Drosophila melanogaster: one gene and its partner. The protein of the gene in region 1 interacts with the protein of each later gene in a pairwise test. Each region holds a gene or a part of one and is shown in the gene's direction. Other genes may lie near its edges.

The links.
Region 2: the proteins of ssp5 (region 1) and Invadolysin interact in a two-hybrid assay, tested with the Drosophila melanogaster proteins (one large-scale study listed by BioGRID).

What each region holds. Positions count from the first base shown.
Region 1 is NT_033777.3:12,031,399-12,036,140, forward strand, and holds ssp5 (short spindle 5), read left to right. Parts: upstream 1-1,743; 5' UTR 1,744-1,866; coding exon 1,867-4,002; 3' UTR 4,003-4,127; downstream 4,128-4,742. Other genes in the region: CG31358 (uncharacterized protein), read right to left, coding at 27-171, 240-303.
Region 2 is NT_033777.3:10,142,900-10,147,771, forward strand, and holds the start of Invadolysin (invadolysin), read left to right. Parts: upstream 1-1,768; 5' UTR 1,769-2,501; coding exon 2,502-2,633; intron 2,634-4,872. Other genes in the region: TAF1B (TATA box-binding protein-associated factor RNA polymerase I subunit B), read right to left, coding at 1-35, 569-689, 745-1,172; CG42759 (uncharacterized protein), read left to right, coding at 188-275, 331-455. UniProt on the Drosophila melanogaster protein: Essential for the coordination of mitotic progression, and also plays a role in cell migration.

The sequences.
Region 1 (4,742 bases):
CTTTTAAGGGTAGCGAATAGGTTTACCTAATACGACCCAATCGAAATATCACAAGTCGATGGAATTCGTAGGCTATAGTCAGACAACAACACAGCGAAAATGGAAGTAAAATCAACACTAAAATCCATGATACGAACACCGCTACTTTTTCAACGATATAATTGCTGTTATCTTCAAGGGAAAAAATTAAAGTAAATAAATCATATATATGCGGTTCCTTGAGGTCCTGCAATACTTACCATCTTCCGGGGTGGGTTCCACATTATCTTGCTTCTCTGTTTCGACTGCATATCGCTCCCTCATTACAAGAAATTTTTGGATGACAGTTAAAATATATCGATTTCATTGAATGTTTTTTCAAATGTAAGTTATTTCCGGTATTTAATCCACTCAATCCACTTATTGCACTTTTCCAGGTTTAAATAAATTCGAATTTAATCATTTGCATATTGCGCTCGCAGTGGCAACTGAAGAACTTAAATTTTATTTGAAATTTTTGAAATTACATTTTTCCTGCAAGCTCCTCGAGTGGCTAACTTTTTTCGGCAGCAAAAACAGAATGGTGAGTTACAAATAAAAATTGTCCACAAAATAAAATAGAAGGCAGAAACTTTATCGCAGAGCGAAGCTGGCCAAAGTTCATAGGGCAAAAGGAGGAAAACTTTTGTTTTCTCGCCTTCTTTGCTGTATGTTCCTTTTTTCATTTTCATGAAGCGACAAACAAATGGAAACTGACTGGACCTGGCTTTAATACTGCACAATGGTTTGTGGAGCGGGGTAATAACTTCGAAATGACTTTTGTTGCTTCCTTGTGGCAGTCTGTAAGTTGCCACTCTTTTTTTATACAACTCTTATACATTTTTGTTTTTTTTTTTTGCCTTTCCGTGACCACATGTGCCAGGCTGAAAGAAAGTTTTCCTTCTCTCACCAGATTCATGGCCCAAACGCCATCATAAAGTAATTTATGTGATTTGACCATTCTTCTGGTGACCACCCCAGTCCGGCCATCCAGATCTGAACCTCCTGCTACAATATATCTGATTGCAAGTGCAGCGACATATGGTCAAGTCCGAGTTTGAGTCCGAGCCCGAGTCCGGATCCAACTCGAAGTCCAGCCAATTATCCTGGCGCGTCACATAGAAAATTACTCTATTATATTTCGCTCTGATGATGGATAAAGTTATTAGTCCCCAAGGGGGCAAGTGTGTCGGCTGTGGGTTGTGTGTTCTGCGATGAACTGCGAAACAAAGAGCAAATGAATGTCCTGACCCGCTCTGATAAACTAATCCATCATTGTCAGATGTCAGTTGTCGGGACGGGAAATGGGGCTTCCTCGCATGGAACGTACGTACGTTTGTACATACGTGGCCAGGTAGGTGGGTAAAAACGAGCGAACTGCGGAGGAAAACAATACGAGATCCACCTGTTGCCTGATGGAAGGTGGCAAATTAATGGCTTTTCAGTGCAGTCTCAGATACCGATGCAATTGCCTCAATCATCGCCGATAAGTGTGTTGGCGTGTGAATTGAGCACCGATGGGTTGAACGATGCATGCGAAAAGGTATTTATCAGTGCCCGGGTTTTTACGTAACATAGTGACACCCAGTTGCAATTTAAGCACAAATGGGTGTGCAGCTTAAGAGGGACATCAGTATCCTTGCATTGAATCAGCATTCCATTTATTAATATTTCAAAAACTACAGCCCATATATGACGAAAAGTGGGCGTGTTAACTTAAATCTAAAATGATTTAGTTCAGTCTAAACTTTCAACATATGCATACATCAATCAAAATTTTAAGTAATTTTTTTTAGACTATTTATTATTTTATTTTTCGCGATACCAACTAAATTGTTGAAGTAAACCATGCTGGATAAGCCAGCCCCAGTGGGGGCCTCATGGTACACCAATCTGTCCGACTTCCAGGTGCAGGCCGTCGAGGCACTGGCCTTCTCGATTCGGGATGACAATGCGGAGGGTACTGTGTACCGCACCCAGTTCTGTCTCAGTCGCTTGGGAGTCACGCCCATGGTAAAGACCCGGATGTTGCGGAAGCTAATTGGGATTTGTCGCGGCAGCGACTTGGCATTCCTTTACTTTCTGATGGAGGCCTGCTATAAGGGCACAGGATCTGCGTACAGTGAACGGATCCTGATGTCCGCCATCACCTTTTTGGATCTGGAGATGACCATGAGGGAACTGGACAAAATACTGCCGCCGGGAGTGGAACGGCTGAATAAGAAAGAGTCGATAGCTCCGCCAGTGGATTATCGCTCCATGTCGTTGCCAACACCTTTACCGACCAAACGGGAATCGGATCTCCGAAAGGTCCGCTCGCCCTACTTTACCCCGTTGCCCAAACCAAAGCTACCCAAGGGTGGCGAGAAGTTCACTGCCAAGAGACCCTGCCTCGTGGTCTCCTTTCCATTCTGGCCCGCTGGCGAGAGGCCCAACTACAAGGTGAACGAGGAGAACCGCTGGTTCGCCGCTTACAGGTTCCAGCCGGTGAAGCGGATGCTCTTCAAGATGGTCGGCGACATCATGACCGACTACTGGACAAAGATAGATGGTACTCAACCGGCGGAGAACGAAGCGATGCCCATGTGCGAGTTCCACAAGGAGGCACTGCGGCAGGAGCAGCTGGTGAAGGATGCAGCTGTGGTCAAGGCCCACAAACAGTGCTTGGCTCTCGTGGATATCACTTCACGGCAGGATGCCCTCCTTAAGAAACGTATCGTGGCCCAGTTGGAAAGGGACATTGAGGAGGTCACGCTGCGTTGGAAACGACTTCGTGAGCGCCACCATACGGATGTCATGTTGTTGGAGGATCACGATCAGATGTGTTCGGTGGGCAAAGTGCCTACGGCTGTGCAGGATATCAGGATAAAGTACCTATCCCAGGAAGCGGACATCGGGCGTCTGAGTGCCAAACCCACCTTGGGTATCCATGTGATCACCGGCAGGGGTAACGTGAGTCGGTTAAGTAAAGTGCGGGTCTCGGATCCCGATGATGACATCCCATGCCCCACGGTACCCGTGGAGCAAAAGCTGGCCAAATGTCCACCCCCTATACTGGGACACATCAAACGTCCGCGGAAGGTGTCCATCACAAAATCCAAATTCGGCGACGATAAGCAGTCTTCCTGCAAGAAACCATCGAAGCCAGGACGCTTTTTTGAAGCTCCTCACCAGCACAGTCCCTTTGTGTTCAAATACCATGCGGTTGCACCGCAGGATCAAAATCCAGATACCAAGGATGTGATTCGTGCCCAGGCCATTCGCACCTTAAAGGAGCAAAGTTGCCCCTCAAGCGAGGATAACTACAACGGACGGATCAATCCCCGAGACCAGGTGGTGGCGGCCATCGTTGAGTGCGCCCAAAACATGTGGTTTGGCTCCCTGGAGGCTCATCAACGGCGCCTGTCATCTGGCCAATCCGAAAGACCAACGACTATTGAAGTGCCAGCCAAAAATGAGCCGGAAGAAATCTGCAAAACAAATGATGCCCTAGATTGGACAAAGACAATCAAGAAGTTCGACCCCAACAACCAACATTTAATGGAGCGCCTGCTGCGGGATGGATTTTCCGTACTGAGGCAGGATCCACGCTGCGTCTTCGCCGCTTTTCCCGACTCGCACAAATCCTTTGTGATGGTCGAGTGGATTAAGCGTCGATATGGGAAGACCTACTGCCACGAAGAGATTGTTGATACGATTGAAAAGGGACTGGCCACATTTGTGCATGTTGAGAACCAACTAAACGAAGCACCCAGCGCCAAGCGCGAAGGATTCTCGGCAAAGGACACTTTTGACGACTTTAAACGTCTGGAGGCGTTGTGCAAGAAATTAAAAACCGAATACCGAATGCCGCTCAACGACAAGATCCTGACCCTGACAAGAATCTGCTGGAGTGCCCTGAGTCCCCACTTGGCCAGAAGCTCATCCATGCTCAAAACCTTCTTCGCCTATCTGCCAGTTCGATACGCAGACATGCTGAAATAGGATGAAGATCATTATTTGGATTACAAACTAATTGTTGCTAAATTGTTTGTTGTTAAATTGTTTGTAGTGTTTAGTTTTAATGTTTATTGATATTGCATATGATATAATCGTATATGTTTACCCCGAAGGATTGAAGGTTTTTTTTTTATTTCGACATATTTAATTGAATAGGAATGGAATATGTATTCGCTTTTAAAGTAAGAAGATATTCTATTTAATCAATTTCAATTAAATTGGAAAATGAGAGAAGTAAACTATTTACAGTACAGATTTTAGATAATAGTGTAAATATAAATTAGCCCCGCTGCCTTCTAAGAAGAACTATTCAAACTAAACATATTCAATATAAGCGAGAAAATTTAATTAATGACCGGCATACAAATAAGTGGATAGCGTGCCGTGGCATGGCATGTCCTTCAGAATCCCCGCAAAATTCATTGAAATTACCAAGCGTGAAATGAGCAGCTGTCACAGCGGCACAAAGGACACCCTGAACAAGGCGACTTGAGTCGACTCCTGTCCGACATGCAAAGCCCACGATGAAGGCGTAGAAGAACGATATTCCGATATTCACACTCGCCGATTCTGGTTTTTCGATTAATTCCACTATTTGTGAAATAAGAATCCTAGCTTAGTTCTGCCACAAGTTGCTGCCAAAGTGATAGGATTTCATATAATAAGAACCTTAAGCATGATAGATGCAATAATAAATATTAGTAAGAGGGCGGTTTATTGTTCAT
Region 2 (4,872 bases), 1.9 Mb from region 1:
CCGTGCGAGCGGTAGCCGGAGGCGTCTAGATTGCGCTGCAAAAGGAATGGGATCAAGGTGTTACAGTCGCATCTGAGTAAACATCACTAATGAATAGGCTAACTATGTCATTTATATAGCTTGTGGAGCTATAAAAGACGAACGTGTTCAAGTCAGCAGCAATTTGGTAAAGTGTGTCGTTGCAAATATGTCCATGCGTCTGGTTCTAATTGGCGTGGCCATCCTGGCATTGGCCTACGGACAACCTGTTCCCGGAGCTCCAGAAGTCACTGAAAGTAATTAGATAAACTAATCCTAACGCTTATTGTTCATCCAACATATTCGCCACAGATTCTAATCCAGTACAGGAGATAAATACAGCAAAACCCATGTATAATGACTACCAACGGACCCTTTTCCTGCTGCTGCCCCTGCTGTTTCCTAACCAATTCTATATACCGACTACCAGCGGCTAATAAACTACCTTAGTTCTGTTCCACAATCTGAACTTGGCGCGCTCGTCATTTGGGTCACCCGTTAGAGTGCTCTTCTTGCCCTTTATACCGACTACCAGCGGCTAATAAACTACCTTAGTTCTGTTCCACAATCTGAACTTGGCGCGCTCGTCATTTGGGTCACCCGTTAGAGTGCTCTTCTTGCCCTTTTTGCCTTTCTTGAATGTCTTATGGTTGTAGATGATGCGGGCATCTCTGAAAGAATTCGGAATTTAAAAATAAGAAATTTTAGGAGAATGCAAGAACCCACATGGGCAGCGCCCGCACATTCAGTTTAGGCAGTCCCGTCTTGTTGCTCTTGCTGAAGGCCACCTCCATGCTGTCCAAGTAAGCCGCCCACACTTGCAGGGTCATCAGTTTGAGCTCCGGCTTGGCGCCCATGTTGAGCAGCTCCTGGAGGAAGCCGCGCAGCACGTAGTTGTAGAATTCCCACGAGGTGATATCGTCCTCATCCTCCTTCTCCGTATCCTTCTTCTGTCGGATCGTCCTGGCTGTATATCGGCCTGCTGCCGTGTCATCAAAGTTATCCTCGGCGGTAATGTCCACTGCACGAATCTGATCCTTCTGTGTGCCACACTCTACGCAGTAGTAGAATCCCTCGCGCTCCTGGAAGGTGGTACCCTCGCACACATCGCAGTGCATGTTCTCCAGCTGCATCGTCTCGAGAACTTCCTCCATTTTTGGGACTTTCTCTTGACGGTATCAGATTTAAATTATATTATTAATCAAACTCGCGGTTGTACACAAATCGTGCATGTGATAGTGGTGGGGAATGATCTATGTTTACAACGATATCATCCGTTCTTCGATTGATTCGATATATCGTCCGTTTCTTCTATGAAAACGTACATCACTAGATTAAGGCGGCAAATAAAAGTTGGTTCAAAGTAACATATTTTTAGTCATGGTATTTTAATAAAATTTTATTTTTATATAAAATTTAGAGAGCGGTTTTTTTTTGAAAGTATATATTAAAATCTAATAAGCGTAAAGGGTATTTTTTATTGTTTTTTATGCCAACCTGTTAGATGCACTTGTACGTTAGCCATCACTGAACTCTAATCTCTCGTAACATTTCTGTTATCTTTTTGGTGTGACCATAAGCAGTAAGAATTGAATTATCCATGTCTTGACGCTTGATTTTTAAAAAAGTCGATTCGAAATATCGATAGGCAACGTAATTTTTTAGCGCTAATAAGAGGTGTTACCAGATTCGGAAAAGCATAAGAACGCGTTTTTCGTTTTCGTTGAATGGCCACTCTGTCCTTGTGTCCATGTACTTATGCATATGTATAGAGACTCGATTCAAAACAAAATCGGCTGGCGAACGTTAACGTCGTTGTCGGACGATTCGACTCGCGTCTCTCTAAGTTTGTTGTTCGTGCCAACCACCCCCGCCGGTACCCAAACGCCCCCTTTTCGCGCGAGTGTTTTTATGGTTTTGCTGAATGAAAAGGCTCGACGAATGCGCTTATTGAGTGCCCACTGTGTCGGGTATGGCAGTGAGTCCTACAGAATGCTCTCGCTGCACGGACAGTTCATGAGAATTTGACATTTAAGTGCGAGTTTGTTCCTCCTTTTGCGGCTAACTGCAGTTTGTAGTTTGCTGTAGTTTTATGCACATTTTTTTGGCGTGGGCTGAGATTGGGACACACCCACCCGAAAACAAAAACAAAAAGTAGTCCAAAGGCCCCAATAATTGAGTGTCTCTGTGTGTGCGTATGTACGTGTGTGTGCGAGTTGTTTATGTGTGCGAGTGAGAGGAAAGGGATTCGAATCGAGCCGGTTTTCGCGAGTTAATTGACAAAGCAAACGGCGGAAAAGCAGCAAACATAAGCAAACCAAAGAGGAAAATAAACAAAGAATTTTAAGTGCAGATATGGGTGTTCGAAGTCAAGTGATAATTAAACAAAAATCACACTAATCCTGACAATGAAAAGGATCACCGCTACAATGCTGAGTACTCTATAATATCCACGGCGATATTCCACCCCGAAGTAAAACACCATGGCCAAAACGCCCCCGCTCCGCCCCCACGGTAACATGGCCAAATTCCTGGCAGCCCTCGGCATCTGCTCTTGGCTCCTCGTTTCGGCCACCGCTCACAACTGCCAACACCAGCATCCAAAGGCCCACGAGGTGAGTTGCGTTCGTTTGGCTCCAAAAATGAAGGGATTGGATTGAATTGGATTGGACTCTATGGTATTGGGTTGAATTGGCCTTCTTCTCTTACTCCGCCCTTTCTTGCAAATAAAACAAATAATATCCGGGAAAGGGCTATTTTGGGAACACGGAATCTTTAAGTGCTCACCCGCACACGTGTGCCAAATATTTACAATCCCAACTACATTAATATTAGTCTTTTTTTTTTTAGTCTTGCAACTAGCTAAGATTTTTCATGCTAGATAGCTAGATTACAAGATAGTATAAGGTATGAAGATGGTTTGGTAATTTCAAAAGAAAGAGTCCTTAAAGTTTAAATCAGCTGGAAAATCGCAACTTCGGAAATTTCAATGCTCGAGTTTCTTGTTTGTTTCTGCTTCGGCCATTTGGGCAGATTGTCCTTCGTGCTCATTAGAGAAATTTCATAATTGGTGCAAACTGTGCTCGTCGAAAATTTATAATTGATTGGGCTTTGGCATGAAAAAGGCAGGCCTAATTAGTGCCGATTTAAGAGGAGCCCTGAAATTGCCATTCTCATAATTCTGCCATAGAAACAGCGGCAAAAAACTGAAACAATAAACATCTAGCGATGGTTGGTGGCAACCACAGCTTATTGACTAATTCCGCTGGCTAATAATATGCGCATTCGAGATTCAGTCAGTCAGTCAATGCAATGTGGTTTAGTTTGTCAGTCAGGTGGTGGGGCTGCATATTAACAGGTAGCTCATAACGTGTAACCCACCATCGTGGTTACCAAACCGCCTCCATCTGCACCACATCGACATCCACATCCAGTGATCTAGTTAGGGTTTAATGTCAGACGCTGCCCGCCAACTTGTTGCTCGGGATCTGCATTCCGTCGGGCTTTTGTTTTTGTGTCTTTGGAAGTTTTTCGCCTGCACTTTACTGCTTTCCAATCAACGGCGATTTAATTGGCGCGTCGCCATAAATAAAGGTCGCCTTCAATTGCGCAAAAAGGGGAAATTTACATGATTACTGTATCGAGGCGGGTACAGTCTGTCCTCCGTGGTTGCAACTGCAGTATAATCGAACATAAAATGTTCTCGGAAATATGCATTTCCCAGGTGTTTTATAACTTTTCAAATATATGCACTTGTGGAGAACGAAATTAATACACAGCTGTATATGGTGTGGCAGCTAAAAGCAACTATAGTGTAGTTTGCACAAAAGATACATAAGCTTTTTGCAAACATTGGCAGGATGCATCCTATTTTCAAACTCACCAGGGGACACAGAACTTTTTCATTCGTTAACAATATAAAACACAATATATGTATGAAAAATCTGTGCAAACGCTAAAGTTTTAATTAGCGAGTAACTACTTTGTTTTCAAGCCAGTAAAAGTGAATTGGAATGGCAGGGAAATGAATTAATTCAGCGACTGTCTGTTGATGGCTAACGATGCTGTCGAGGTCGCCCAGCGTGTAATTAATTGAATTATCTGTAACTTAAACTGTTGTAAATGCAAAAAACCGTCGTCCAGATTATGTGTCTCTCTGCGCACGGAATGTCCTGCTGTCTGGCCACTGAAAATCATCCTGACAGGAGCAGTGTTTGTAGAGGAGGATAAAGACATAAATATATGTATGGCGAACGAACCAATGGTACATACATATATGTTCACATCCGTATGGAACATCCATTCAATTAAATAGCGGTCCAGCTGAAACCGAAGTACTCGATTCTAATTAGTGTTATATAAATTGAAGAACGCGGCTGTCAGCAATTGCGAGAACAACTGCAGCAATGTGTAAAATTCGCCAAATTAAACCATTTGTCACGTTGCCAGCGTGCGTGCGCGCCTGTCAGCGATGTCGCGGACTGTATTGACCTTCTAATACGATAAACGCACACTTAACTTCAGAAAAACTGCCATTAAATTAAATTATCTTTTGGCTTAGCAAACTGAGCTGCAGGGAATCTCCATTCAGGATGAAAAGCTTTTTGATTCACGAGCTAAACTGAAAAGAACTTAATCAAAGCGTGATGCTAACATTTTCCAGTACAATCAAAACAGGTGCTGATTTGATATGACGAAGTTACACATGTTTCTATATTAATGAAACTCCCTAGGTAACTATAAACACGAATGCAAATGCATTCATATCGACAATGTGTGTTGCAAGCATCTGCATGTACATATGTATTTCCATTTACATATTAAGTGGATAGCAGTATATCCATACTATACTTC